Linked DNA regions of Lytechinus pictus. The main gene of each other region encodes a partner of the protein of the gene in region 2 in a complex. Links are inferred from orthologs where the notes say so. Each region holds a gene or a part of one and is shown on either strand. Other genes may lie near its edges.

What was found.
Region 1: the proteins of methylmalonyl-CoA mutase, mitochondrial-like (region 2) and methylmalonic aciduria type A homolog, mitochondrial-like are in contact, whole or in part, in a crystal structure (PDB 8GJU), measured with the Homo sapiens proteins. The link is inferred for Lytechinus pictus from reciprocal best matches to the Homo sapiens genes MMUT and MMAA. Residues at the interface, in NP_000246.2 of Homo sapiens: Lys496, Glu609, Arg610, Glu611, Gly612, Arg613, Arg614, Arg616, Ala635, Thr636, Ala639, Asp640, Gly642, Phe643, Asp644, Val645, Asp646, Ile647, Gly648, Pro649, Leu650, Phe651, Gln652, Glu656, Gln659, Gln660, Val662, Asp663, Ala664, Asp665; in NP_001362573.1 of Homo sapiens: Arg98, Ala99, Ala102, Glu103, Thr106, Glu109, Ser110, Thr111, His112, Ser182, Ser186, Gly187, Gly188, Ser189, Leu190, Leu191, Lys194, Thr195, Met197, Thr198, Ser201, Arg202, Met204, Tyr207, Ile208, Arg209, Pro210, Ser211, Pro212, Arg214.

Annotation. Positions count from the first base shown.
Region 1 is NW_026974141.1:16,223,641-16,239,334, forward strand, and holds the start of methylmalonic aciduria type A homolog, mitochondrial-like, read left to right. Parts: upstream 1-9,045; 5' UTR 9,046-9,172; intron 9,173-9,269; exon of another isoform or gene 9,270-9,345; intron 9,346-12,489; exon of another isoform or gene 12,490-13,172; 5' UTR 13,173-13,281; intron 13,282-15,694. UniProt on the Homo sapiens protein: GTPase, binds and hydrolyzes GTP. Involved in intracellular vitamin B12 metabolism, mediates the transport of cobalamin (Cbl) into mitochondria for the final steps of adenosylcobalamin (AdoCbl) synthesis.
Region 2 is NC_087257.1:22,373,101-22,389,514, reverse strand, and holds the start of methylmalonyl-CoA mutase, mitochondrial-like, read right to left. Parts: upstream 6,679-16,414; 5' UTR 6,187-6,678; intron 1,930-6,186; 5' UTR 1,920-1,929; coding exon 1,854-1,919; intron 1,367-1,853; coding exon 1,235-1,366; intron 121-1,234; coding exon 1-120. UniProt on the Homo sapiens protein: Catalyzes the reversible isomerization of methylmalonyl-CoA (MMCoA) (generated from branched-chain amino acid metabolism and degradation of dietary odd chain fatty acids and cholesterol) to succinyl-CoA (3-carboxypropionyl-CoA), a key intermediate of the tricarboxylic acid cycle.

The DNA.
Region 1 (15,694 bases), on a different chromosome or scaffold from region 2:
TCCGACGGCGGCAGTGGCGTCAACATCAAATCTTAACCGAAGGTTAAATTTTTGAAATGACAACATAACTTAGAAATTATATGACCTAGTTCATGAAACCTGGACATAAGGTTAATCAAGTATTACTGAGCATCCTGCCAGAGGTTCAGGTCACAGGACGAAGGTCAAAGGTCATTTAGGATTTTAGGGTCAATGAACTAAGACCATGTTGGGGGAGTCAATATCGAAATCTTAACCTAAGGTTAAGTTTTTGAAATGTCATCATAACTTAGAAAGTGTATGGACCTAGTTCATGAAACTTGGCCATAAGGGTAATCAAATGAAACTTGGACATAAGGTTAATCAAGTATTACTGAACATCCTGCCCGAGTTTCAGATCACAGGACGAAGGTCAAAGGTCATTTAGGGTCAATGAACTTAGACCATGTTGGGGGAGTCAATATCGAAATCTTAAGCTAAGGTTAAATGTTTGAATTACCATCATAACATTGAAGACTTATGGATCTGATTCATGAAACTTGGAAATAAGAGTTAACAAGTATCACTGAACATCCTGTGCGAGTTTCAGGTCACATGACCAAGGTCAAAGGTCATTTAAGGTCAATGAACTTTTGCCATGTTGGAGGTAATTATTAAATTGCTGTTGTAACTTTCAAAGTTTATGGATATAGTCTATGAATTGTGGACATATGGGTAACCAAGTATCACTGACAAGTCTTCGGTCACATGATCAAGGTCAAATGTCATTTAGGGTCAATGAACGTAGTATTGTATCATTATATGAATGGTGTTATTGTGAATAATTATTTTATAGTAGTTTTCAAAGTCAGCACTGCTGCTATATTGAATGGCATAATGCAGGTGAGACCGCTAGAGGCACTCCACTTGTTACTATTTCAAGCCAGTGTTTAGATTTCTTAACCCACTAACACCTGCATTCTATGTTTCCCTTTGTACAGAGACAATTGACTTCTACTCTAGGAAGATATACATAGAATGGTTGGTATCTATGTTCAGGGTGCCTTGTCATAAAGGTGTTTGTAAATTTATTCATGTCTGGTGACACTTTCTTATTCTGGATGAAGTACCTCAAATAATGCAGGCTTTTGGCTGATTCAGGTGATGACATGCCACATTGTACATGACATATGGGGTGTTCATATGTTCAGTCTTCTCTTCAGACCCAATCAGTCTACTGATGGGCATCACTAAGTCCCCCCTAAATAAACATCAATAATTTCCGAACAAATGCGAGTATTTAATATATTTTTACATGAGCGTGTAGGTAATTTTATAAGCTATCCTCTGAGTAAATGTTATGGACGTATATTACGTCATACTTCAGTGAGCACCGTCAAAAGGCAAATATGTCACTTTTCAAAAGTCACAAGCCAAATATCATTACTTTGATTCCATTTTATTGGAAGTAATTCCACATTCTCATCATGAAAAATACATGTAGTCAGAAGGCTTGTAAAAGGTACTTTCTAAAAGACGATACAACATTTTTGGCTAAATTTCACGGTTAATATAAACACAAGTCAAAATTTGCTATAATTGGATTGTTTACACATTTCTATTAATAAAAATGATAGAATATTATGACAGGTATTTTTGGGAAGAGTATCTTCAACAATATTCATCGTTTCACGGTTCCATGAACATTTTTTGAAAACATAAAACACGATTTTCAAATATCATAGGCGTGTAATGTTTCATTTTGGTAACTGAAAATGATCTTTCCTCAACTTTTTCGTTATTTTCATGACAAATTAACATCCGTCAATGATTCAAAGGCGTTTAATTAAACATTCACGCTTGAATGAACATGTGGAATGTGATTAGCTCTTTTTTACGTTATTGGAAAAAATGCAATTTGTAACTATGGATATCTTTCAAAAACCTCCTTGCATAGTTCATTTGATTTGATTTTTATGAAAATCCCGATGTTTAATACATCAGTGAGCACACAATATTCGAAAATTATGCAAATGAGAAGAAAGTTCAAGGCCTTGGCCCCACTCTGTGCCGTATTGAATGGTTATTTTGGTGTGCGCGCCTTTTGGATAGTGTTATTCTGAGGCCATGTGCGAAGTTTCATGAAATAACTGTTGGCAGAAGTAACAAAAACCGTCCATGAAACAAACCCTCATTTCATATTTGTTAAAATTTTGACTTCCTCTCTCATAGACTTGTGTACATTATGGGTGCATATGTTTAAGAATAAGTAACCCCTTATTCAATATGGTGGAACTTTTTTTCAAGGCTGTCTTTAGCAATGTCATTTGGCAGTAATGTTTATCAACCTACATGTATGGGCAGAATTCTGTGCAAAAATGAAATCGATTTGTTTAGTTATGGATGAGTGAGCACGCATCAAAGTGGGAAAATTTGTATTTTCAATGTCACAGACTCATTTTAAAGGGTAATAAAGTTAATATTGGGGGCAAATTCGGTTTCAAATGTGACTTTAATTGCTGCTGTTTTTATCATCCATCATTTCTATCACCACACACTTTCCGAACTTTAAACATTTTCATGGTTGAGCGAGCACATTCGAAAACTTAGGAATGAATACTCTTTATACTGCATAAATGTATTCTTTTCCTAACAATTTCTCATGATCAGTTTAATTTATGGACAAATCAGTGGTGGATCCAGAATTTTAAAATGGGGGAGGGCCTATAATCGGGGGAGACACCAACATTTTCAAATTTTAACATGATCTAACAAGTTGTAGAGGATACTACCATAAACCCCTATGATGATATGTCACAATACAGGGGCCGCGGAACGGTTTACAAAGTGGGGGGCTGACCATGCAAAAAATCACAATCGTATGGTCATTTTTACATTTTTGTACATGCTTTTGGAAAAAAGTGGGGGGGAGGGGGCTCAAGTCCCCCCCCCCCCCCCCCCCCGCTTCCGGGGCCCCTGCAATACATTGTGCTCACTCAACCATGAACATACGATATCAAAATTGTGTGTGGAGTGGCTAAATGATGGATAGTAAAACAGCATAACACCATAAAATTCACCTAAAAACAACTTTTGCCCAACTTTGTATTTGCACAATCTGAAAAAATACTCTTGTGACTTTCAAAAATGGTCATTTTTAAATCAATCTTTAATTAATCATGCATGGCTCAACCGATCAATCTCATTTTTCACCAGGAGTTGCTTAATGAGTGAAGAAAACCACCTACGAAATATCACATCTCAAAATATTTCCGTTCAAAAGTTACAGCAATTCGATTTAGGGGGGACTTACTTTTTTTGTGTGTATAGAATGAATAAGAATTTGAGGAAGCACTTAAGAATATCCCTAGTCATTTGTAAAGCCATACAAACAGCTCTTTGAAAGCCATTAGCCAGCAATGATTATTTCACCAGGGGTGTTCCATGAAAGCACTGACTTTGAAATCCTGTAACTGGCTGAGAATCAATGACAGCTTTACTATCCCCCCCCCCCCGCCCCTCACCCACTCCCACAAAACACAACATAGAATCATGGCCTACCTAAATTTTGGGTCATAAGGCTGAAAATGGAATGAAATCATTTCTAAGTTAGAAATATGTTATAGTGATGAATTGTTAGCACTTTATAAATCTAAAATGAATATAAAACAAAAATTTGGGCACGGAGTGGGGTCAGGAAAAATTCATGAACATTGACAAACTTAAGGTTAGTTCATTGTAAAGAGAAAATGGGTTCTTTGTGAAAGCATCATTGGTTTATCCCATAGATGTACATGGTCACATTTAATGTTTGTTTTATTACAATTTGGATTTATATAAAAGAAATAAACTATTAATTGTGGTTGTGAAATCATGATACATACATTCATATTGAACGTAAATTTGATGGCAAATTGGAAGTCAATTGTAATTAGTGAATTGTTTATTCATTGGCTATGTTGAAAGATGGATATCATTTTGAAGGAATGACAGATGTATATTTCATTAGGTTTGTCTGATGGTTTTGAGAGAACTTATACATGTTGCTGTATTGTATCAATGGTGTTTATTTGGATTGTTACATATAGGGTCCATGGTGTTAAAGGACTATGTTAGGAGAGTAAGTCATGTGTATTTCATATCAATAGTTATAACATTTCAATGCAGTTAAAGTTTCTTTCAATTTATTTATTTTCCCTTTTTCCCAGGGACATGCAAAAGAGTAACTTCTGCACAGTTCAAATAATTAGTAATTCACCTTTATCATCAATATTGAAATGGAATGTCTCCCCATAGTCCATCTATACAGATGACTGCGCCTTTATTATATTGAATGACTTTTAGAAAGTTCAAACGTTATTTCTTGTGAAAGCTAGTTATATCATTGCCTAGAGTCTATTCATACTTTTACAATGATAATAATAACAATAATTGTTTTGATATACTGTGCTTTAGTGTTTGCATGATGGATCATTTGATGAAACAGATGTTTATGAACAGAATATCAATCTTTTTAAAGATTATAATTATGTACACATTATCTCTCAACATTACATGAAATAAACATGTATTAGATGAATGTTAATATCAACAGGTTTTGTATCCGGCAGTATATTGGTGTATTGCTATATTCTACTTTTTTAAGAAGAGGGGAATAGAAATATATGAAGGGAGAGAGATTTGGGAGAGGTGGAGAACTAGAAGGGGAGGAGATTGAGAAAGAAATGGATCCGCAGATACTCTTTGCATACGCCTTAGTTTCATACGCTCTGTATCCGTCGAGCATCCGTCCACTGTGATTTCATTTTTTGCCAAATTTGTCCATTTCTGGAGCGGATGAAAGCGGATATGGGCCACCCCGAAATTTTGATTGTCCGCTGTATCCTTTATGCTTACGTTTTTACATGGATCAGAGGGGGGGTGGATATGGGAGAGAGATTGACAGAGAGAGTAGGAGGGGATCCAGGAGAGTTGTTGAGGGATACTGACACACAGGGAGAAGAGAGAAAAAACACAGGAGTTAGGGATAGAGAACAATATGATAAAGATGGTAATAGAAAGGAAAGATGATCAAATGAGGGGACGTTGACATTGGAGATGAGGGGTGGGGCTTATATTATAGTGAGATCGATAGAGAAGGGGTGAGATGTTTTCTTGGTTTTTGGGTGTGATAAACGTTATGGCAGAATGTAATCTTTAAACAACATTTTTAACAATTACATTTGTTGCAGTTGTATTCAACCCAAATGGAGAACTTCCCCAAATATTTAGAAATAATAATTTTATCTTAATTTTAGACCTACATGGTACTAGTAGTCTGTTACACTGTTGTCAGTATTTTCTTCATCAGTCTGTCGACTGTATGCGCGGATGATCAAATTATGCGGCAATGGGATCTGCACTAGATTGGCCTAGTATTCGCCTATATAGTGATGATAGATATCGAAATGGTGTTGACTACTCGGCTTTATCGAGATTTATGTCAGTCTCTGGCTGATTCCCTGTTTGGTCGCATCTCGAATGGTCTAGTCCATAGTTCGGATGCTGGGCCGGGTGAGGGTAGACCGGGAGGGTAGATTGTGAGATAGCACCATCTTTCATCACTGGGTGTCCCTGGGTGTTGACTATTAGTTCGTAGACCACATGTGTACTGGTGCAGGATAATGACAATACTGACAACATCAACATACAACCCTGAATTTCTCTTGAAAATAAGAAATTAAGGTCTGAAATTAATGTAGATTCCCTATTAATTTCTAAATATGAATTTGATGAAGTTCTCCAAACGGGCATACGTTGAATATTATAGATGTACGGTAGTAGGCCCGTGGTTGCAGGTAGTCTGCTGTGCAAACCCTTCACTCGAGTCAAGGGTCTGAATGTGCAGCCTACTCATAATGCGTTGTGCACTGAAGGCCCTCTCTAAAAACGGAAAGTTTTGTATGTACATTTTCCAATACATAAGAAAGGAAAGAAGGATGCTGTTGAAAACTACAGACCAATAAGCCTGACTTCAGTTATCGGAAAGATCATGGAATCTGTTGTGCGTGATGCCATTCTCAATCAACTTATTCAGAATGACTTATTGTGTGATGCACAACACGGATTTCTACCAGGAAGGTCTTGTGTCACACAACTGCTTGAAGTCATGGAATTGTGGACTGCCTCTCTTGATGAAGGATGTGAAGTTGATACCATCTACCTTGATTTCTGTAAAGCTTTCGATTCTGTGCCCCATGAACGACTGATGAACAAACTCAGATCCTATGGTATAACAGGTAGTCTGGGGAAATGGCTTTACAGCTTCTTGACCCATCGGAGGCAGAGAGTCGTCGTGAATGGAAAAACTTCACAGTGGTTACCTGTTAGAAGTGGAGTGCCTCAGGGTAGTGTCCTCGGACCGACAGTTTTTGTGGTATTCATCAACGATCTCCCTGAGGTAGTAAGCAGTATCGTAAAGATATACGCTGACGACATGCACCAAACTCTTCAGAGAGATCAGAATGGAAGATGACTATGACAGGCTACAAGCTGACTTAGACAACTTAGCTGAGTGGTCCAAGAAGTGGCAGCTCCAGTTTAATACAACGAAGTGCAGATCCCTCCATCTAGGTCATCAGAATACCCATCATCAGTATCATCTAGATGGAGATGTGCTGGAGGAAGTTTCAGAGGAAAAAGACTTGGGAGTCATTATGGACTCTCAACTGAAATTCCATTCCCAAGTAGCCAACGCAGTCTTGAAAGCTAATCGTGTGCTTGCTATGATTCGACGCACTTTCTTGCATAGAGACAAAGAAAACATCAAAAGGTTGTACAAGTCACTCGTGAGACCAATTCTTGAATATGCGAATGGAATATGGTACCCAAGATATGCTTCTGACTTGAAGGCTATTGAGAAAGTCCAGCGACGAGCGACCAAGCTAGTACCAGCCCTGAAAGAAATGGACTATGGCAGAAGGCTGCGTGAAATGAAATTACCCTCCATCAAGTACAGACTGCGCAGAGGAGACATGATACAAACCTATAAAATAATTTATGGCATTGATGATGTGAATAGAGACCTATTCTTCACATCAGCTACCACTCAAGCAACGCGTGGCCACCCTTACAAGCTATTTTTGAAAAGGAGTAGACTGGCAGTGAGACAAAACACCTTCAGTGTTAGAGTGGTTAATGACTGGAACTCTTTGCCTACTGAGGTAGTCACAGCATCAACAATCAATGGCTTCAAGACAAAGTTAGACAAGTTCTGGTCTGCGTGGCATTATGTTCACGCATGGGAATAGTGCCTATTTCATTCCAATACATTAATTGGCACAGCACATTGCACAAATAGCACAGACTCAGTTTTCGAACTTATCCAAGCTAGGAAGACAACAAGCTAGGAAGACAACAAGATAGGAGAACAACAAGATAGACCTGGAAACTTGACTGCAGCTAGGAACAACTGCATTTTTCCAGTAGATGCGGTATAAAGGATTTGGATAAAGGAAAATCAATTGACTGTATATATTTGGACTACAAAAAAGCATTTGATAGCGTCCCCCATCGAAGACTTCTGCTTAAGCTTCATTCATATGGAATCAGAGGTAGTGTCTTGAATTGGATCAGATCCTTCTTAAAGAACAGAGAGCAACGGGTGGTTGTTAATGGAGTTTTCTCAAATTCTGTTAGAGTCAGTAGTGGAATTCCCCAAGGGAGTGTTATCGGTCCGGAGCTATTTCTGATTTTCATAAATGATTTACCAGATGTCCTAGCTTCTCAAGCAAGTGTTATCAAGTTATTTGCTGACGATACCAAATTATTTGCTGAAGTTAACAACGATCAAGAATGGGAAATCCTTCAAGCTGATTTACTGAGGATTCAAAGTTGGGCAATCTTATGGCAACTTCCCTTCAATACAGGAAAATGTAAAGTCCTTCACTATGGCAGAAAGAACCTGCACTATGACTATAAGTTAAGTTTGGATGGCCCGACCATCGAAGTCAGCCACAGTGAAAAGGACTTGGGTGTCATTTTCGACGATCAGCTAAGTTTTTCTCAACACATAGATCAGATAGCAAAAGCAGGAAATAAGAAGATGGGGATCATCAAGAGATCTTTCTCATTCCTTGAACCTAAGAGCTTCAAACTACTTTATAAGTCCATAGTTCGACCTGCTTTGGAGTATTGTTCACAGATTTGGCATCCATACTTGAAGAAGGATCAGGAGAAACTCGAGAGAGTTCAACGAAGAGCTACAAAAGCAGTTCCAAGTTTACAGGTCAAAAGCTACCCGGAAAGATTGGCCCAATTGAAGTTACCTTCATTATCTTACCGACGTCACAGAGCAGATCTTGTCCAAGTATTCCGAATAACTCAAGGAACTGACGATCTAGAGACTTCTAAATTCTTCAAATTCAATGAAGACTCCAGAACTAGAGGACATATATATAAGATTGAGAAACCCAGAGCAAATACTCGAAAAAGACAAAATTCTTTCTCACACCGAGTAGTATCAGAGTGGAACAACCTGCCAAATCAAGTTGTGAAGAGTACTTCCATAAACTCTTTCAAATCAAACTTAGAGAAATCTTGGAACCTCAAAAAGGAAAAGTTTAACCCTGACCAATCCTTTACTTGCCCATGTTCCCATTAATAACGTTACCTGCTGAAACCACACATCGCCATATAACCTGTACCAGTTTATCTTCCACTATAATGACTTCATGAAATCAAGAAATTGGAAGGAGGAGAGGGGCAAACAAGTTTTTTAGGTAAAACTTTACGCCCACAACAAGGTATGTTACAAGGTATGTTATAGTCTTTGCGTGGAGACACACTTGTTGATCAAAGTTTCAATCATGGTAAATGGGTCTCTGTATACCATTTGTCTCTATTCAACAGATATTGAATATCAGCAATGTATACAGCTGTGGAAAGAGCAGAACAGGAGAAGTAGGTTTTAGGATCCTCTAAGGGTCTGTGCCTGAAGACTAGTATACGTGAACTAACTAGCGCCAGCGCTAGCCTTTGCACATAATTAAAGCTATAAAGACGTACCGGTATACCGTACTTCCCCGGGGGGTCGGGACAACTCGGACCACGGGACATCTCGGACCGCGGGCCGAGTTGTCCCACCGATTACGATAATTTTTTTTCACAAATTTGCGTCTATTTTTCCGTCATTTCGAAATTTCTTGTAAATCTTTTCTAGAGATATGGTCTGATGGTAATGTTCTTCACTTTCTATTACTTTTTTTTCGCTGAAATAAATAAAAAAGTGTAATTTTAGGCGTTTTTCGACAGCTCGCGATTCCCATAGGCGCGCGTGTATTAACTGTGTAGGTGCTCGGCTCGGCCCCGCTCAACAACTGACTTGATTTTGTGATCATTTCTCCTCAAGTTACCACTTTTATCGCAGAAGATGGACTTTCTTGTATTCCATTAACTCCATTTTCTCATCAAAAGGATAAAATTTGGAGTATTTGCACGATTTTCCTAAAGTTTTTCACCTTTTCTCTCTGGTCGTAAGAAGCGAACAACCGATGAACGGTCCGCTGCTCTTCATCGCAATTCTACGTAGCTCGGCCGCCTGAACTGGCGGGGTGGGATTCAGCCCGAATCCCCAATGGAAGTGGGCGTGCACTGTCAAAGAGCTGAGCTTGACTGAGTGAGAGAGTGAACTACAGCTTGAAGCTTGGCAGTGTCGTATAGCCTCTATAGGCTCTGCCTTTTTTTGTGTAGATATATATATACATTTTTATTTTTTCTATATTGATTTTCCCTGGTGTAGAGCTTTAATTAAGATTGTAATAATTTAATATGCTTTAATTTCTTTGACTGAGTGTGACTGTGGTGTGGATGTTTGAGTCGCACAAAAAATACTTTTACGTGGGTGGGGGCTCGGGGCGGTTCACTCCTGCCCCCGAAATGTGAAAAAATATTTGGGGTGTAGCTGTGTGGGCATGCTGGGCCGTGCTGAGGGTAGCCATCAATAAAAAAAATGTTTCATTGGGTCTTACTTTTTTAATGGAACTATAATTATTTTTAGGCCTATTTAATTTTTATATAAATTTCATTTTTATATTGAGTTTCCCTGGTGTAGAGAGCTGAGTTTTGGAGATGACGAGAGGGAGGAGGAGGTGAGGGATGGCGATGGTGAGAGGGATGAGGATCTTTGATGAGAGGGGTGCATGGAGATGGTGAGAGCGACGAGGATGTGAGGGATGGGGATGATCATGGGAGGAAATCCCAGGGGGGGGGGGGACGTGTCCCCCTACCAAAAATAGTAAGGGGGACACAATATCAAATGTCCACCCTACTATTTTTCTTCTTGAATAATGGAGAACAAATACATCATTCACAATCGAAATAATACATGTATTTAGGACTAAATGACCTTATATTTTTGAAAACACTTTTTTTTCTTGTCAAGTTTAGTGGTTTACGGTACAAATCTTTGTAAATTTACTAGAAAGTAGCTGTAAGTTTACGGACAAGATTTAACAGATAAAGTGCAATTTCTACGGAAACTTTGTAGAATTTACAGAAAAATCAGGTTAATGATAAATTTACTGACGTTGTCCGTAATTGTAGTGAAGATCATTATTGAAAGGAGACGTTTACGATACATCTTGTAAATTTACTGTAAAGTAGATGTAAGTTTATGGACAAGATTTAACAGATTAATTTGTAATATGTGTAAAGTGCAATTTCTTCGGAAAATTGTTTAAGGGGGGACTTACTTTTTTTGTTGTGTATAGATTGGAAAACAACACTAGGGCAACTTAGTGTTAGATACAGATTTCAGTTTTCTAGAATGGGTGATATTCTATTCAAAGAAAAACAAAAACAACATCACTCCAAAGGAACTGGAAAAATTATTTGATAAAAACAAAACCCTCTTCATAGTTGCTCTTTGCAATATCGTATTGACCACCCTTCTCCTGTTTTTAAAACCCAGACAAGCATGATTTGTTGCTACCCCCCCCCCCCCTTCCATGTACCTGTCATTTCTTTGTATTTTCCCTCGTTTTCTTTGTTTTTTCTATTGATCGATGTATCAGTGTTTAGTATTGTCTTTTTTTATACCAGTAATAGAATATAAATTTAATTGAAATGAGAGTGATGAACATAATGAGAAAGGGAGACAATGATAAGATAAGAATGGAAATAAAATATTACAATTTACAGAATATAACATATACATGTATATTTCTATTTATTCAAAGTTCACAATTCATTTTTATTCAGGTTTACATTTAAAATTTAAACAAGTTAATTAAGTGATTAAGTGATGCATTTTGGAACAATACTAAATTAAATACATTTTATATTGAATAAACAATAATTGGTAAAGATACAAAACACAAAACTTCTAACTCTATTCTTTCCTCCTGTAAAAAATTACAAACTAAATGAAATGGACATTAGTTCCAGTGGCAAATCGGGGGGGGGGGGCACATTCCGCCCCCCCCCCCCCCCTTGAGAGGTACTCAAAAGGCAACTGCTTGTCAAATTTTTCCTGGGAAAAAATTATGATTTGGTAGTGAAGACCTTTTGTCAAAAAATTCCTATACAAAATGCCCTCCGGCCCTGTAGGGAAATTTTGGATCCGCCCTTGATTATATTTCAGATGGGAATAAGACCGAGTGGCCCTAAAACTTGATTGAAAAAAATATTCACAACTGCAGGGCAAGGCTTCAGTCTCCAAGCTCACGACTGTGCAAGTACATCCACTTCCATTGGCAATTCCGGCTGAATTCCACCCTGGCAGCCTGACATCCACCCTTACCAAGAAATAAAATTAAAGAAAGTAAATCAGGGAAAAACAAGGAATGGCACAATGAATTACATCAATTTATTTTAAATCCTGTAAAAAATAAAAATAAGTAATAATTAATTTAATTAAAAATTAAGCCCCCAAATAAAACATTTTTTTACTGATGGCTACCCTCATTCCGGCATGCCCACACAGCTACACCCCAAATATTTTTTCACATTTCGGGGGCAGGAGTGAAATCGCCCCGAGCCCCCACCCACGTTAAAGTATATTTTGTGCGACTCAAACATCCATACCACAGTCACACTCAGAGTCAAAGAAATTGAAGCATATTAATTATTGCAACTTAAACTCAATATAAAAAAACAAAAATTAAATTTAAAAAAATATATAAAGGCCTAAAAGTAATCAATTTGATTAAAAAATTAAGCCCCCAAAATAATTTTTTTTTATTGATGGCTACCCTCAGCCCGGCATGCCAACACATTTACAACGCGAATATTTTTTCACATTTCGGGGGCAGGAGTGAAATCGCCCCGAGCCCCCACCCACGTAAAAGTATTTTTTGTGCGACTCAAACATCCACACCACAGTCATACTCAGTCAAAGAAATTAAAGCATATTAAATTATTACAATCTTAAAGCTCTACACCAGGGAAAATCAATATAGAAAAAATAAAAAAATATATATACATATTTACAAAAAAAAAGGCAGAGCCTATACGACACTGCCAAGCTTCAAGCTGTAGTTCACTCTCTCACTCAGTCAAGCTCAGCTCTTTGACAGTGCACGCCCACTTCCATTGGGGATTCGGGCTGAATCCCACCCCGCCAGTTCAGGCGGCCGAGCTACGTAGAATTGCGATGAAGAGCAGCGGACCGTTCATCGGTTGTTCGCTTCTTACGACCAGAGAGAAAAGGTGAAAAACTTTAGGAAAATCGTGCAAATACTCCAAATTTTATCCTTTTGATGAGAAAATGGAGTTAATGGAATACAAGAAAGTCCATCTTCTGCGATAAAAGTGGTAACTTGAGGAGAAATGATCACAAAATCAAGTCAGTTGTTGAGCGGGGCCGAGCCGAGCACCTACATAGTTAATACACGTGCGCCTATGGGAATCGCGAGCTGTCGAAAAACGCCTAAAATTACACTTTTTTATTTATTTCAGCGAAAAAAAAGTAATAGAAAGTGAAGAACATTACCATCAGACCATATCTCTAGAAAAGATTTACAAGAAATTTCGAAATGACGGGAAAATAGACGCAAATTTGTGGGAAAAAAATCACGAAACGGGTGAGACAACTCGGCCCACGGTCCGAGTTGTCCCGTGGTCCGAGTTGTCCCTGATTCGTACCCGGTACCCGGTACGTTCTTTGCATCAGCTATGGAGAAAACTAACGTTACTCGTTAGATCTGTTTTGTGGTTCCTGGAAAACTTTACTTTAGCATGAGGAAGTCAGGTCGAAGTCAGATGCTTTAAATTCAAGAGAAGCTTGTTGAAATTCATCAACATTTTTGCCCTAACAAGTTAGTCTACTCAGACGTTACGCTTGTCGTAAGTAACATATCGACTAAACTGTAAACGTTGTAGTATTTGTACGGTGCAGTGCAGTGCAGCTCCGCCGCGGCGGCCCGGCTAGCCAGGAGGCACCAGAGGCTCCTAGAGAGTTACCGGTACCTCGGGCGAAGTTCGTGCAGGCTCCACTTCACTACCGCTACCTACCCGAACTTCGGGACGGTGAACTTAGGCTTAGCCAGGCGGCTCTTGAGAGTAAAAATCATTTACTAACGTAGGCTTACTCTAAACGAAGCCAGGCAGTTCTCCCTATTCATCTGCGTGTACCGCAAAAAAACCTGAAACTTTCGCCCCAGACTCGCCAGAGATTTCTAATTTCCTTCTAAAATAGTAAAAAAAAAGATCTAGGGGCCTAGGCCCTAGCTCTAAATCATGTATAGTAGTGGATCGTATTAACGAACACTTTTCATGAATTCAATCATATCAAACACATTATTCTCATAAAATTCACCAAACTTTTAACATAAATACACAATTCCTACCGAGGCCTACAAAATATAAATATGTGAAAATTTTGCCGAAATCGTTTTTCCTTTTTACGATATTACTTAGCTCCTAATCGGACCCCTCTTCGAACGTGAAGTATTTTGGTCACTTGAAAAAGGTATCGTATTACCGAACGTGTGTTTTCAATGGGAAAAGTTGAGAAAACAACAAAAATACTTATGAGCTATTTAGAGTGATATCTCCTTGTTTTGACCATATTTTATTATTGTTAGAATATTAAGACTTTGAAAATGTGTTTTTGACCATTTTTCATCAATTTCTATTCAGGTTCTCTTTGGAAGGATGTTGCGAAATTTTGAGCGTATGAATTTATTTTCTGATGCGTGCGTTCGGTAATACAATCACTCACCAAAAGATTCGCCTGCAGCTAACCCAGGGAAAAACCCAGGGGCTTACCGTGTATTTGACCATACTCACGGGACTAGGGTGATTTATGGTCTAAATATTTCTCCAAATGAATTGTGAAAACAGAAAGTATACAATTACCACGATTATATGGATGAAGGTCTAACGAGTGGCAGTTTCCTGACATCTGGGCACAGACTGGAACCTCAAAAAAACGAAAAGTTCTCTCCTTCTACCCCCGTCTCGATCGGCCATTTTTGTTAAAATTCGTAACAAAATGGCCGATCAAGACTGGGGTAGAAGGAGAGAACTTTACCGTGTATTTGACCATACTCACAGGACTAGGGTGATTTATGGTCTAAATATTTCTCCAAATGAATTGTGAAAACAGAAAGTATACAATTACCACGATTATATGGATGAAGGTCTAACGAGTGGCAGTTTCCTGACATCTGGGCACAGACTGGAACCTCAAAAAAACGAAAAGTTCTCTCCTTCTACCCCCGTCTCGATCGGCCATTTTTTTTTAAAATCGTAACAAAATGGCCGATCGAGACTGGGGTAGAAGGAGAGAACTTTTCGTTTTTTTAACAAAGACAATAGTGGAACGTTTCTCTCGGATTATTTTCGCAAAATCGATGTCACTGGTAAAGCACGATGAGAAAAATATGAAAATACGGGGGAAACTTGCGCGATGTTTACGTCGCCCTCTTGTTTCTTTTCGTTCTTCACGTCTGTAACTGCGAAGAACAAAAAGAAACGAGATGGCAACGTAAACATCGCGCAAGTTTTCCCCGTCTTTTCATAATATTTTTCTCGTTTTTATTATGAATTATTGTTTAAAAATGAAATCAATATCGTAGAAATGAAGATGTATCCCATTTACATGATTTAGGGCTAGATCTTTTAGAAGGAAAGTAGAAATCTTGAGGGTGAAAGTTTCAGTTTTTTTTTGCGGTACACGCACATGAATGGGACGCAATCCCTTTCTCCATGGAGAGTAAGCATACGTTAGTAAATGATTTTTACTCTCTAGCAGCCTCCTGACTAGGCGCGGCGCACGCGGGACTGGCCTGGTTTGCTTCATCACAAGCACCAATGCCAACTTCAACAACCAGTATAAGCAAATAGTACCCACAAAAATAGTAGGCCTATGGTATGTTACAAAAAATAAATCTCAGAAATGGTGTTTGCTTCATAGACTAGACATAGCATCAATTATAGCTCATCAAGACCTTTCATTTAACACCTCATTCATCCCAATTGGCAATAGGCTAGGCAGTAGCCTGCCCTTATTGTAGTTTACAAATCGCCTTTTCAATTCTTATGGCTTTTATTGGTCGCATTTCTTAAGTTGGGTATGCAAGAAGGGTGGAGGATGAACAGTTTTCCGCATGGTGCCATGGATAAATTGTTGCTACATCACAGCACCTTGACCAAATTTATTGAGTAAGATATAACTTTGTAAGAATATCTCAGATTCTCATTTTGAAGCTAGTAGGGCCTAGTAGTAGTAGAACTATATGGGCTAAATATTACT
Region 2 (16,414 bases):
CCATGGTCTCTGTGCATACATAGTAGGATAAGGTCCTCTGGTATAGGGGTATTTGCCTGGTAAGTCATCAGGATGCTCTGCGGTGTCTTGCTGCGTGAAGAGAGGCTTCAGAGAAATACCCTGTTCACATGGAAATATGGATTCAGTATTTGAATATTTGATGACATGACGTCATTTTAATTCATCTCGGAAAATAGTCAATCAAAACGGAACTTCCAAAACTGTTATTTACGTAAATATTGATTTACTGCAGCTGCATGAATATTATACAGAATTATGCATCAATACAGAAAAAACACTGATGTTCCCAATTTCCAGAAGAGAAGCTGATAAATTAAAGACACAAATTATTTATTTTTCTGGGCCCTGTAAGGCTGTAACACAAAGCTTAGCGGTTGATCGTAGGGCGGATTTTTACACTTGAATACACTGATTATTATGTAAGATCGAACATAGAAACCAACTCTATTATCAATCGTGAAGCTTTGAGTACCAAGGTCCTGTAACACAAAGATTAGAGATTGATCGTACGATTGATTGTACATTTTAGTCAATGCAATCAATGGTAAAGATATTGTTCTACGATGATTGCTTTACTTTGTGTTACGGGCCCCAGGCCCCTGAATGGGGTTAGAGAAAATCACTGATGTTGCCAATTTGAAGAACAGGAGCTGATGAATTGTTTTTTCTGGGCCCTGTAACTCAAAGTTAAAGGTAAATGCCAGTTGTGGTAACGATCTCAAAATGACTTTTTACAAAATCCAATATAATGACCACCCAAGTGTCTGTTTGTATGAATAAAAAATATGTGCCAAAGGATCCTGGAAGAAATTGTGTAATTGCTGAGAAATAAGCAAAATAAGTGCGGATTCGGGCACTTCCGTCGGGTCTTTATTCCAGCAATAATAATATACTGTCCTACATATGCCTATCTGTGTTGGCGATCTTCAGTGTGATCGTTTTTCAGCTTAGATTTTATGATTTCACAGAGTTCAGTTTATGTAACTGTACCAGATCTAGATCCACGTTGATATAGTAATACTTAACCTTGGTTTTACAGACTTTCTCACGAAATCAGTGTTTACTGCAACTACTATCATTTAGCTTTAAGCAGTTGATCATAGGGAAGTATTTTATTCTTGATTACATTGATCATTATGTACAATTAAAATTCAACTCTTATGATGAATTGCTAAACTCTGTGTAATGGGCCCCTGAATGCGTAAGAGCTTACCTCTGGAGAATGCCATGTGAGTTTCTCCTTGGGGTCGGCTCCCCTTAACTGTTTCTCGGCAAGCTTAGTCCATTCTTCATTCAGTGGTTCTCTGTGAATACAGCTCACACATGTTACCCTTGGTATTCCAGCCTAAAATAACAGTACAAAAAAAATATATAATCAAGAGAGAGAGAAGGAAAGGAATTCCTGGTTGTAGTGGAGCTCATCATAAAGAGCTGGGTACAGCAAAAAAAAATGTTATCAAATTACTGACATAGAAATTTGGGAACCATTTCATGAAAGCTGTTTACAATGATGACCTATCAGCTCTGACAAATTTAAATTTACTGATATATTTGGTCTTAAATCAATATAATTTATAAAGCACTGATCTCTGACTCTGATTGCTACCCACGACCCCCCTCCACCCCAACCAGCAAAAAGAAAAACAAACGGGCAGACTTTTAGTCTAGAACTGTGCCTGCCAAGGTACATTTCCCTTTAAGCATCTGAGACTGACACAAAGGACACACGATCACTGTCTCAGGATGTGCCTGTTTCAAGGCATATTACACTGACACTTTTCTGCCTGAATTGACACAGCTTTGCACACAGCTTTCATATTCCTAAGCATTACCTTATGAAGAAGTTGAGCTGAATGCCATCGGGCAGTTTGAGCCAGGGCTGGTCTTAACTTCCACATTCTTGGTTACCTGTATGACAATTAAAGGAGAGTACAAATGTAGATTGGTTTTGTGACTTCAGATCAGCCCCCCCAATTTTTTTTTCACTTTCGGGGGCTATTATTTTTCCCAACTTTGGATAAGCTTTAGCATTAAATTTTCAAGCACACTTTTTAAAGAATCTTTTGAGCATTTTAGGGGCTTAAATCGCCCAAGCCCTGTGTAATTTTTCCCCTGCTTCAGATCCAACATCATAAATACTTTGCAGCTATATTTTTTTGTTCATGTTGACATCATCACTTAATTGTTGGTCTTAGTCTTTGCTGAGCAAACTTTCAAAATGCTAGAAAGATCATTGTGAAAGTCCAGCGAAGACACATAAGAGCCTTTCTGAGACCGAGAGACACCAGCATTAAGGCCGAAATAGAGCCCGTCCCATCTATTCCCAGTGTTCACTGACTGAAATTAACTTAGAGGTTATATAATATTTTTACTAGTGCATGACAAAATAATTGGTGAGCAAATTGAATAGATTAGCTGACATTTTATGCAGTTTTTACTTTTATCTTTTTACACTCTACTTTTTACCCTCATTTCAGCTCCTGAAAATGGCTAATAAATTCAAATATTACAAAATTTTATCAATTGCAAAGATTGAGGAATATCTGCAACTACTACTAGTAAACAAGGTGTGGAATTTCTGGAAAACCATTTCCCACTGACAGATGGTAAAATTGAATTGTAAAACTATCATAGTAATCATTTTGCAAATTACTAGTATAACCAAATTGTAATAAAAACCTGACTTTTCTTTGTAAAATGCTCGACCCCAAATTTGTTTTTAGTAACTGCCGATGGTCACGCTACCATCTGACTATGATGAAGGCATGAACCACTACTGTGCAATCATTGGACTAGTCAGCAAGCCAGCAAATTGAAAAAAAAAGCGGTGTTTTGATTGTCTAACATAGTGATTAGTCCACAGTATTGCACAACTGCTTTCCATGACAAAAGTCAAGATAAAAAAGATGACAGAGTTACGGACGCGAGCGTCGCGTAACGTTGGGGAAGTACAATAAGAAACAAGATGGCGGCGTAAACATCGGGCAAGTCTCTTCCGTCTTTTCATAATATTTTTTCATTTTTTTGATGAATTCTTGTTTTCAAAATAACAACGAGAGCGTAGAAATGTCGGAAATGAAGTTTTATCCCATGTACATGATTTAGAGCTAGATCTTTTAGAAGCAAAGTAGAAATCTCGGGGGCGAAAGTTTCAGGGTTTTTTGCGGTACACGCAGATGAATGGGGAGGAATGCCTGGCTTCGTATGAGAGTAACCTTACGTTAGTAAATTATTTTTACTCTCTAGAAGCCGCCTGGCTATGCGCGACCCAAAAAACATGTAAAATGGGTGTCTTTTTCAAGATAGGGCATATTACGTACGTAACGTAATAAGGGTGTCAAAAACACTAAAATAATGAAAAAAGGGTATCTATTTTCGATATGAAAGCTACGTGTTTAGGGTCAAATTTGCGAGGGTATAAAAAATCAAGACTAAAATGTTTTATAAAGGATGTACTTTTTGCCCCATGCAGTCAACACTATACGTGTTTAGAGTACGATTTGCACGCGTGGGGCTGCGGGTTGGGCTGTCAATGATGTAGGTAAAGGTAATACCGACGTCCGTGACATAACAATTGAAATATCGCTGTACTTGTTTAGGGGTTCAATTCAGGGAATACTTGCCAATAGTATTGTAACATGACCGTTTGTACACTCTAAAATCATAAACTCTTGCACTTCAGTCTCCTATGCTCTCCTGTAAATTCAATCTCCAAAGCTCTCCTTACTTTAATTAAACTAAAATTATTAAACTGAAGATAGGGTGAACGCAGAATAAATTAGAACTTAACACGATGAAGTCCAGATCAGCACTGACTTTACTTTCCAATCTAATCTTCTGGGAAGTTCTGCCATTGTACCCACATTGGATAATCATAGAAATCAACCAATCAAATACAAGGAAAATGGTATGAACTATAAAATGAACTAACCCTATTTAAAAATAAGAACCAATCAGAGAATAGAGAAGGGTGATCATGAGTTAAACTGAATCCTAATGAGAATTAAACAATAAGACCATGTAGAGTGGCAAGCTAATGGAAAACCAGGAAGCATGACTGAGGGGAAACTGAATGAAAGAATGAAATGCAATGAACCTGTGTTGCTATGTGAGATGTATTGTGGAGATGGAATGAAAGATGAGATCATGACAATGTATGTGGATTGTGGGGATGGAAAGAAGGATGAGATGAGTTGGAATGGAAATAAACAAGTTGTATGTAAACAATAAAGTATGGAAAGCCAAATGTAAGAGTACAGATTGAATACATAGACCCAGTAAAATTTACTGTTACAGTATCGTTTTGTTTCCAATACTTGTTAAGGGAGGGTTTCACATGCCAATACTTGTTAAGGGGTGCATTTTCAGATGGAAAATACGTGTTTAGGGTGCTTTTTGAGATCTCATGGTCGTGCATGGTATCCACTCGTCAATGGAAGTGGCCCCCCCCCCCGGGCCGCGTCTGTAACGTTGGGGAAGAACAATAGGAAACAAGATGGCGGCGTAAACATAGTCTCCTACGTAAGTATTTCAGCACGCCCTCTTGTGCTGAATAAAAGAAAGCTAGCCACTGAACAGTGGCAACCACAGAGCTGGTTACAATAAGCTCCTACCTGTTTCCGGTGAAGCATAATAATAGGAAGCTCCGCGATCCGGGGACTGTAGTCTTTTTCTCACCCGACACCACTAACGTACCTAAGGGGCAGGGAGGGCACACTGCACCCCCTGACGAGTCACAAATCATGCAAGGGACGTACCCCTGCCCCCCTGACGAGTCACAACTGATCCCTGTGACGAGCCACAAGTGGCCCCCTCTTTTGAACTTGAAGACCTTTTTTTTTTTTTTTTTTCCCAAATTTTTTGGCGGACGAATTTGCCCCCCCCCTTTGAAAAATCCTGGGTACGCCACTGCCTGACACTCAATATTTTGTTCACTATTTTTTTTTTACACAAGAATTATTGTTGTCACAGGCGGCGGAGGGGGGGGGGGGTATACACATTCAATACCCCTTAAATTTCAGGAGGAGGGGAGAGTTCCCCTTAAGAAATAAAGAAAAAAAAAACCAAAGAACAAAGACTGAGAAAAAAGTAAGAAATAAAAAATCAAAAGAATTAATTTACGCTCAAAAGAAAAAAGAAAGAAAGGGTAAGGGAAGAGGAAAACAGACAAATGATGCTCTGGATACAGTACTAGAAATATTATAGATAAGCCCCCCAAAATAGCCATTTGGAGTTTTTGGACTTTTTTATTCTTTAAACATGTTTATCTAGACGAAACAAAATTGCCAATCTGTAGAGGCTATCGAGACATGTTTACCAGAATGCATCACGAGTAGTGTTTCATCCATCCGGGTGGATGAACCTCTAGTCTATGGCTTCGTGATATTTTTTTCTTTTTCGATTTGTCACGATCAAACACCATTGAACGAACCAAGAGTAGTGACGGTCCGTGCTGACCGGTATGATTGCATCTTTGAAAGGGCAGGGCAAGCGCAACTAGTTGGAACTGAGCTGAAGATAGCGGTTTGTTTTTGGTGAAGATTTGTTTATATGCCATTTTGACAAGAGTTACAACAAACTTTTGTACATACCATAATTATCCTTTTTCATATTAGAAGGATACACAAGAATAATATTTCATATATGTATACATCATATTGGTAATAATATCATTATGTGAGAAGTGAGATTTTTTATTAATAGAGTCAATGGCGACAATAGTCAAATATGACTAATCGCCACTCAAACCAACATAAGAAGAAGAAGAAGAAGGTCACCGGAGGTGGAAAAATCGGTGAGTTTTTAGTCATTTTTCATATTATTTTCAGCAATTAGATCATATTTGTTATATAAATTTATGTCAATTTGTATCACACTTGATCTAGTTCGATAAGGTCATGTTTGGGTGAGGGAAGAGGAGGAAAATAGTCGATGCTTTTTTTGGCCATGCTAGTGTATACACACGAGAACGAATAACCTTGTTCGTAGGATGAGTGGGTACGTGTGAGGGAAAAGATACTGGCCCAAAATCACCAATTTTGAGGATAACCAGAGGATGGAAACGGAGTGAAATACGGGTGTAGAGTAAGATATTAATTAAGTCAATCATCTTTTTCGTTATATTTTTTTAAAAATTTTTTACGATTATCATGATTGCCATCCCACCTTTGTGACTCGGTATATCCGAAATGGTTCACGGTCCCGATGTTCGGGTAGGTGGAGCGGAGTGTAGCGGTAGTGAAGTGGAGCCTGCACGAACATCGCCCGAGGTACCCGATCCCCGGATCAATCCAGCCTGAAGTTGACTCAACATCGGTTAATGCAACAAGTAGTACCAGCAGCGAAACGGTGTAACCGTCCTACGCCAGCGGTCTCCCGTACAAAATAGGTCCTTACCCGATCAAACAGGTCAGCAGTCCCTTCGGCTTCACATCGCTTGAGAGTACCGATTGCGTCACAATCAATTTCTATAATTTCTACACAGAAAATCCCACCTCTAAGCACACATTACTCTATTCATTACATGAAATGTCTAATGAAAACACAGATCTCATTAAATTTTTGCTTAACTTACAAAATAATAGACTTATTTACCACAGTTTTTTTCTCCAAGGAAGACAAAATTAACCTTCGAGCTTGTACGGTATCTTCCAGAATAAATGTTGAGGAAAAATCTGGGAAAGGTTATTAGCAACCTTTAATCAGTTTCGTTTGCTAAATTGCTACTTGGTCTGCACCCGCTTCTTATACTTCATTACTTCACATTTTGTCTACCGGGTAATTACCGTTCAGTTCATTTACCATTTCGTCTAATTGTCGACTTGGTCTATCAACCGCTTAGTCTATATGATAAGATGAACTCAATTATGAATCAACTATTTTTGGGGGACAAAATATATAAAATGATTAGACCAGCATTTAGAAAATTAATATTACAATTTGAAAAAGTTAAGTGTCAAAGACCAAACAGCAAATATACTAAATGGATAAGCCCCGAGCCTGGACTAAGAAGTGTGTTGTAACTCCTTTGTCCTTTCAAAGTTCCTTTTGATACATTTTATTGGCGACTTTCATTAAAAGGGAAGTTCGCTCTGACGAAAACTGATAAAAATAGAACAGAAAAAAAATAATAATGAAAGATATTGGTAAAGCATTGAGAAAATCCATTAAATATTAAGAATGTTATTAGAATTTCAGGTTTTGGATTTGTGACAAGATAAACCAGCAGCTGCCCATATTTTATGTAATATAAAATACATAAATTTCAATTTTTAATGGTTCGTGATGACTTATTTATGTTTTCTTTTTTAGGAACGGATGTGAAATGATTTGTCCATTGTACTGAAGGTACAGTAAAAACCATTTTCTATGTTCTGAGAAAACGAAATTTCATTGATTTTTACAAGCTGCTCGCGAATATTATGTCACAAATCAAAAATTTAATTTTCTAACTTTTCTCAAACCTTCGGCAATATCCATTATTTTTTTTCTGCTATTTTTACAATAGACTTTTTGTTAGGGTGAACTTCTCCTTTAATGCCATCATGTTTTTAAAAAGTGTGAGCATTTGGGGGATTTGTACATCGTCTTGGAGTGGTGCAAAGTGATCATTAATACATATTCACTGAAGTGATGATCTCTTGGAACTTACTTTCTCTGAATTTTATAAATCATTGCTCATTTATAATATATGTAAGTTGTAGTTTTGTGAAAAATTGTCCTATGAAATCATTCAAAATCAATCTCAAATGCTGAAAGCTTAATCATAAGGAACTTTGCTCTCAAGAGATTACATCTTCACTTTGACCTTTGAACTTGCTCAAGGAGCATATGGGAGGGGGGGGGGCGGAGGCATGGGCACGTGCCCTATTATTGTCCATGGTCATGGGGGGGGGGGGGAAGTAACTGCCCCTCTCCTCTGCATGTTATAGATCTTGCTCCAAATTGCGCCTATATTGATGAATTCATGTTTCTCTTTGTCTTGTCTGACCCGACAAATTTTAAAGCAGCGCTGCTCATTTTTTTCATCACTTTAATTTTTTTCATTGCTTGCCACAAAATTCTTATCAATTCATTTTTTTGGTCCTCTCATTCGTCATTTCAACCTCATACATGGAATCCTAGATACACCCTTAGGCCCGTATTCTGAAGTCGGGTTTAATTTAAACTCTGGTTTCAAGTTGCGGTTTAACTATTTATGGAAAGCCAGTTGTAACATAAATCTCTAACAGTAGAGGTTCAATGTATCAGCTGATTTGACTCCCTAAACATTATCAACTGCCTGGGAGGGATAAGACAAATATCTTCACCATTAATCCGTGAAGAGCAGTTAACATGAGAAGCATTCACTGTAAAACAAAATTTTGAAACGTTTGGCTTCCCATAATTTTAGCCGAGTTAGACCATGGTCTAAGTTGAACCCGACTTCAAAATATGGGCCTTAGTGTGCTCCTCTCAAGGGAATGTGAAAATGCCCTACTAGCAAATAAATATTGGGACTAATGGCTTTCCATAGTCGAATTCAGAACATCTGTTATAGTTATGAAACCCTTAATCTCATGATCACTTTCACTCATATCAAAGGTTAGCAATGGGGACAGAAGTCAATTTTTGACAGTTCTCAGACTTTTTGGTACGAAAATAATCAGTGATACCTATTAAAACCATAAAGCCAAACTATGAATTCAATTTTAAGTTCCTATTCCATAAAAAGAAAAATAACCTTTCACTGCATCTCGAACTGGTTTCATCATTTTCTAAAATTTTTACCTTTTTTTATCAATTAAGGCTTTCTGTTTGTGAACTCTCAATATGATACTACTGCCCAGTTAAACAAACAAATAACAGAATTGCTCTTCATTGTTTTACTTTTATACTGGGTAATAATTTCATATCTACAGTTAACAGAAAAAACTAAAAATGAAAATAAAAAAAAAACCTACTAAACAATAATCATCACATGGAAACACTTTTTCAGGATTTTCATTCTTTTATTCAATTATTTTTTTAATATTATTTTTGTTTCATAAAAAAATAAACATGAACATTTAGCAAAGAGTGAGTTTATAAAAATTCACAAGGTATAAAAATCACACACGATTTGAATGCAAGGTGTTTCATTCATTTATGTCAATAATAAAGTAGGGTTATGAAAGTGCTCCAATCCTTACCAGTCAAGAGATTCAAATGAAAAGATTGTACCATTGTGTAGTACTAGAATAGGCATATCAAAACGATCTATCATTGAGATTATAAACAGGACCCAACCCCCATAACATTTTATTTTCAACAAACTGTGAAACACAAATGATTGAATCTTGTTTGTAAGAACAGAGCACATTCATACACCTTGAAGGCCTACATTCTAACAATGTGGCAAATTACTCAACAGACATGAATATAATTTGTTAATCATGAATACTTCCAGAGAGGCAGGAGAGAAAGAGGAGTCGGAACATGTGGTGGATATTCTCAAAGTGATTTCTGGAGCTTATCACAGTAGAATCCAATGACAAAATATTTTCTTCAGAATGGACAACAAAACAAAATGGAAGACCACATGAAAACTTGAATTGTTACCCAAGAGCCTTTGTGAATTGGGGATAAACTTTACACCAAGAATATCAGATAATAACCTTCCCAAATAAGACAAGGACGACATACAACTATAGAACCAGTGATCAATTGATTAGCCACTAACATCACTTCTGTCAGCAAAGCATCATGAAAGGTTACCCCTAATCAACTGAAACGGAAATGAATAGCAATGTCAAGAAAATGAAGGAATGGGTGCACTTATGACAGTATGAATGCGAAAGGGGAGGAAGGGGAAGAGATTAGGATTGAACAAAAAAATAGATTGTCCTGAGTTAAAGGGGACTACTTCTATTCAGATTCCAAGCTGGTTGAAGGATGAGCTATGATAAAGGATATACGCTGAGAGAATATTCCTGCAAACAATGTAGCCAACTAAAATGTGGATCACAATGCTTTAAAATCTTTGCTAAATATATTGAATCTAGGATCACGGAAGCCTGTCATCCTGCACACAAGAATCATCCCTGTAATGAAGAAAAAGACCATCTCAAATATCAGCAGCTTTTCAATCAACACAAAATTTGTTTAAGTTTGCATGCATGGCAGACACTAAAGCACATTAAAAAAAAGAGAATTCAAGCAACCAGGATGAGTTGTGAACAGATTTGTCCAGGGTTTCTCCATCCATTCTTCAATCAGAATTTTTCAAACTTATACCATGTTAAAGATGAAAACAGTCTCTTGACCATGGAACATACCGGTAAACACAGATGTGCTCCACTTGAGTAGTCACCAACACTCTGGCAAGATATTTGAAGACGAAACGGGCTTGACACTTAAACAGAATGGTAAAAATCAAGAAACACTACAAAGAATCAAAGGCAGACCAGGAAGAAAACCCAACAAATGACTGCAAAGCACTTCTCGATTGATCCGCAAATGGACACACAAATTTGACATGACTGCATGACACTGGTGAAGATGATGAATACTGGATCCATGGCCTTCTCTCCTTCTTGATATAGTAATTTCAGCAAATGATTCACTGAAAAAAAAATCCAACACCAAATGCAGTTTCTATTGACTTCTGAAAAAAGAAAAATAAACCCCACCAAATATCAGAGATTGAGAGACAGATAGAGAGAGAGGGAGAGGGTGAGAGAGAGAAGGGGGGGGGGGGGCATGGTGAGATTGTGAAGACAGGGGATAAGCACTCTGGAAGTATTCATATGATATGGGGTGTGTCTAGTCTTCAGAAAAAGACGTACTAAATGTAGTATGGTAGCCTTACTTCATGCATCACACATATCTTAGCTGGGAAAGGTACACATGAAGACAATGTGATAATATTAATTACTAACGGCAAGTTACGAGCTACATGTACTCTTTCTTTTTAAGGAAATGGTATAGTATCCTTTGGTGTCATAGTTTTACAAGCAAATGCTATCGATAAGTTTAAGAAACAAGGTCCATTGGCATGGCATAGTAAGATGGACTAGACCATGGACTAGACACACCCATAGTAAGGCACAATTGGTTCAATACAAAACATGTACTGAGATGTACGTCTGGACAGGCTGTATATCCAGGTATGACGTCGAAGCAGGCCACCTTTTGCTTTCGTTGGCCGAGGTCAAATGTACAAACCTACCAAAAAACGTTGATCTTCTTTAGTGACGGAACTTTTGGCCTTGACTTCATACCTGACAATACAGCTAATTTTTAGAACTTTACAAAAATGTTTAACAATGTCAATAAGGAGCTTCGGATTTCTCATTCACAATCACTATCAGCCTTACTCCTCATAAATTAGAGAGAGCGCAGCATTAAGGAAGAGGAAATTCTGCATCATGAATGAGGTTGTGAAATCTGAAGATCCTTAATATCGAGAAATGGAAATACCTGACTTTTGCAAAGGATATACTTTGTTAAATTTAGAAAAAAGGGAAGGTGGCTATCCAGACATACAATGGTTGTTCTATTATTTAACACTTGAAAATTCAATGAAATAGAATGCCAAGAAAGTGGATAATGGCACATAATAATTAAATAAGTGTTTTAAAACTAAAATACATCAGCATTGGTCAGTTTTCAGATGATTTATCATCAATTTCAGCCTGTAAACTTGTTGTTTGAAATAGAAACTTGTGAATGGAATTTCTGATAAATACTGATAAATAAAAAATAAGGGGATTCTCAAGTAATCATTGACATTGGAAAGAAACACAGAAGACTGCAGATAATTTTTATAAAGCTAAATGTATGAGATAAAATTGAAAAGAAAAACTAGAAATGTCAAAAAATAATTTTCCGATTTTCTCTATCAAATTATTTTGGTAGAGAATCAAATTGAGATATTTTTTGTTAGAAATCATTTACAATGTTGATTTTAATGTCAATACATCAGTATTGTTTGTATTATAAAAGTGATATTTCAGGCAAAATGATTGAAATAATTGCACATCAAAATTATTTCCAATGCTTATTTCCATATCAATACATCAGTATGAACATATAAATGATAAAATTAATTTTTCAGACAAAATAAGTGAAATATTCACATATGAACAGATATCAATTGCAACAACGGTTTAAAAGACTAAGAAATATATTTCACATCAATAATTGATATTTACTGATGGCTTCTCAATGCAAACTTGCTATCAAGAAAAAAAAACACAATAGCATTTGTAGAAATAAAACATGGAACACATATCTGAAGCTAAGATAAAAACAAAGTTGCATAAATATACAACAAAGTACATGTCATTTTGATTAATACATTAATATTTTACATAATAATAGACATTCTCAACCAAAGTTGATTCACAAGGAAAATGGGAATGTGAAAATAAGAAGAGCACCAATGATAATACAATGAAATACTGTTGCAAGCCTGGAAAAAATATAACACATTTAGTAAAGTGTACTTTTTCACAATAGTTTTTCATAAAGTCAATATAGAATTACTTAAAAATGGCACACACACATTCAACCATCATAAATGAAAAGACAAACAAGGTTTGGTGCAAACTTGCTAGTTTATTTGTTTGCATTATAAATCAAATCATAACAATTTGAAGTATATATTTCTTAGTAAATATAGAAGACAGCAGCAAAGGAAAAGATTAAATAAGTGGAACGCCTCTGGCAGTCTCGCCTGCATTACGCGATTCGACATAGCAGCAGTGCTGACTTTGAAAACAGCTATCATTCACAAAAGAAAACACTCATATGATAATAAAATACTACGTCCATTGACCCAACATGACCTTTGACCATGATCATGTGACCTAAGACATGTGCAAAACATACTTGGTTACCCTTATGTCTATGTTTCATGAACTACATGTGTAGATCCATAAACTTTTAAAGTTATGATGCCAATTCAACAAATACCCCCGACACGGCCAAAGTTAATTGACCTTTGATCTTGGTTATGTGACCTGAAACGCGTACAGGATATTCAGGGATACATGGTTACTCTTCAGTCCAAGTTTAATGAACTAGACCCATAAACTTTTAAAGTTATGATGGCAATTTCAAAAATACCCCCAACATTATCAGTTCTTGAACCTAAATGACCTTTGACCTTGATCATGCGATCTGAAACTTGCACAGGATCTTCAGAGATACTTAATTGCTCTCATGTCTAAGTTTCATGAACTAGATCCTTAAATTTTCAAAGTTATGATGACATTTAAAAAATCTAACCTTGGTTAAGATTTCAATGTTGACAACGCCGCTGTCGGAAAATATTTGCTCTGCTATGCAGGCGAGACAAAAATGGAATCAGAGAAAAATAATTAAAAGATACACAACAAATGAAAATAATACATAAATCAAAGGGCAAATAATGATATTTTGTATTAAAGACTATTGTCATAACTCTAGTTCATTCACAACCACTGCTCGCAAAAGAGCGTTCTAATAAACAATATAAATCAAATGCATGAAATTTGAGAACAAAATAAGGTGGAAGGAAAAAAAGAAACAGGGGAGGGGAAAAGAGCAAAGAAGAGAGAGAGAGAGAGAGCAGAAGGGGGCAGGAAAAGATGATGATAAAGATAATGATGGAGAAGAAGGATAAGGAGGTGGAGGAGAAGAACAAAGAATCAAGAAAAAAAAACAGAAGTAAATTGTGGTGGAAAAAAAGGATAAAAATAATGCAAAGAAAAAAAAACACATCACAATAATTGAGTGGAATGTTTTAACAGTGCAACCAATATTTAGTAGTGGTAAAATGGAAATAAAGAGAGCAAGAGAGTGAGATAGATAAAGATACACAGAAAGATATCAAACAGACAATTCACATCATATTAATTCAACCTTGACACTTTTCTTGAGTACTTGTTCTCTGCATCTAGTATTTCTTACAAATTTAAGTTGACCAATTTCAAGAACAGAGCTCATCAAGAAATGTATAGACCTGAAAAAATAAATATTTTCACATAAAAATAAGGTATTATCAATATAATAATTACTACATGAGCAACAACAAAAACATTATAAAGTTTGTTTCATAAGCAAAATAGTACCGAAGGCACAAATAAACATATCATTTTAAGCATAAAATGGTTCGGCAAGAATGAAAACTTTCCTCAATAAATAACCAAAGTAATAACTTCAATGAATCAATTACACAACAAATCATATAAAAAAATAAACACTTACACTGAACCTGGAATTACAATTCCTTTTCTGCCGGAAATCTGTCAAAGTTTTCCAAGGACAAGCCAAGAACCAGCCTCATTTCAATATGGTGTTGTGGCTGGAGTTGGTGTTAAAACCACATTAACACCAGATTTCAACACCATACTTGAAAATACCCAGTTTCCAATGGGAAGGTTTTCCCCTTGACATGGTGTACATGTAATGGATTTGAGACAGATGGCTGGGGTCCAGACAGGACATCAAAGGTAACTGCACTAAAGACAGACTATTTTGTGTTTCAGAATTTTACACCATTTGGATATAAATCACCCAGAGTAGAATGAGATTTATTACCAGCAGATGTTATGCACTGGAAATTGCATCATGGCAGAGTCAATATCTCACTTTTCCTGGCCTGAGAGTTGCATAAGGCATGGACCTAGTAGGTCCATGCACAAGGCTTAGCATGCTTTGCCGAAGAATTTCTTGATTGTACACAGAGTTTGCTTCCCCCCAAAGATGTCTCTATTACAGGTATTTTACTGCCTTTTACAAAGTCTGGGGTCAGCAAATAAAAATCCATTCCCCATCAAAACTGATGCCATCTGACTTTAGCAATAATAATTAAAAAAAGTGGAGGGATTTGCTGTAAAATTGGGTAAAAAAGGTAAACAAGAAAAAAGATTATACCAGATACTCTATGGATTGGATTGTCACTCAAGAATATCATGTGCCCTACATGAACATGTGCTGATTTGCTTTCCATTGATGAATAATTCAGCTATACTATCATTAATACCTTGATACTGTAACAACATTTGAAGTACTGTAATATAATGTGAACTTTATATACTTCTCCACACAAACAAACCTTCAGATAGAAAAAGGATAACAATTAGAAATTGTCTAAAATATAAGAATTCTTGAATTAGCTAAACAGCACTTTAGTACTGGTTAGCTAATTCAAGAACCCCAGAATTTATAAGAGTTTTGGCATCATGTTGCTACATTTTGGGGAAAAAATACAAAAATATCTTCCAAAATATTCCTTTATTAATTTTCAGGTAATTGAAATATTGAATATTATATCATGGCAATGCAATGCAAAAGGGATGCATGATCAAATACATACACATCAAATTACCTTCATAAGCACTTTTTCACATTTGTTTTATACATGTAGTTACTAAAATATTTAACCAGAGCAGTCTTGGTAAAAAAATAAATTACACATACAAAAAGTACAAATAACTACCCTTGAATCCAAAATATGAAGAAAAAAAATTGTGCTAAAAAACAGTAAAAGTATTCAGGAAAATATTCAAGACATTCTCTAAAATCTGAATGACTTAAATTCACATGAAAAATCAACAAAGTTACATATGCAGTCATGATTGAAAATTCATTCATATTCTAATTTTTGTAAAGGAAAAGTAGTGTCTGCACATATAATGCATATTACAGACTCTCTCTCTGTCTCTCTTTCTTTCGCAAACACACACACACATGATGGTACTCAACTTGTCAACAAACGATGACAAGTAACTATTGGCTCCTGTCACAAGAAGGAACAAGAACATTTTAAGTTATTGTTATAAAATGTTTTACATCCATAGACGCTGCTATGTATTCTAAAACTTGGTCTAATTAACATAGTCTAAATATCTTGTTTAATAAAAATAATAAATTATACATGTAGTTATCTCTTATTAAAGTAGATGTTCAATTCTTTAACAAATTTGGCACAAACACCACTAATAATCACAGAATGATGCCACCTATATTTCCTTTACCATTAAAGAAAGAACCCAAAATCAGAAGAATCATGCATCATATACATACATGTAGCACAAATACCAATATCTCTGGGCTCCCCATAATATGAACATAATTTATACTAATTTATAATTTATTTCATTTTCAGGCAAGAAAGCATGACAGCAATAGAAACATTACAAAAGAAATATAAAGTTGAGCACCAGCCAATGCCTGGGGATCACCTAAAAGAATTGAAAATTCTGTAGACTTTTCGAGGCCAAAAATGAACCAGAAATAAGAATAAAGGCCTGTATTTCCATGGAATGTCTCACAGTTTGGAAACTAAAGATACAGTACAAACAACAACACTCCTTCTCATTCTTACACACATGCAACACTTTTTTTTGTAATGCACTTAATGGTATCTTAAAAAGGCACAAATCAG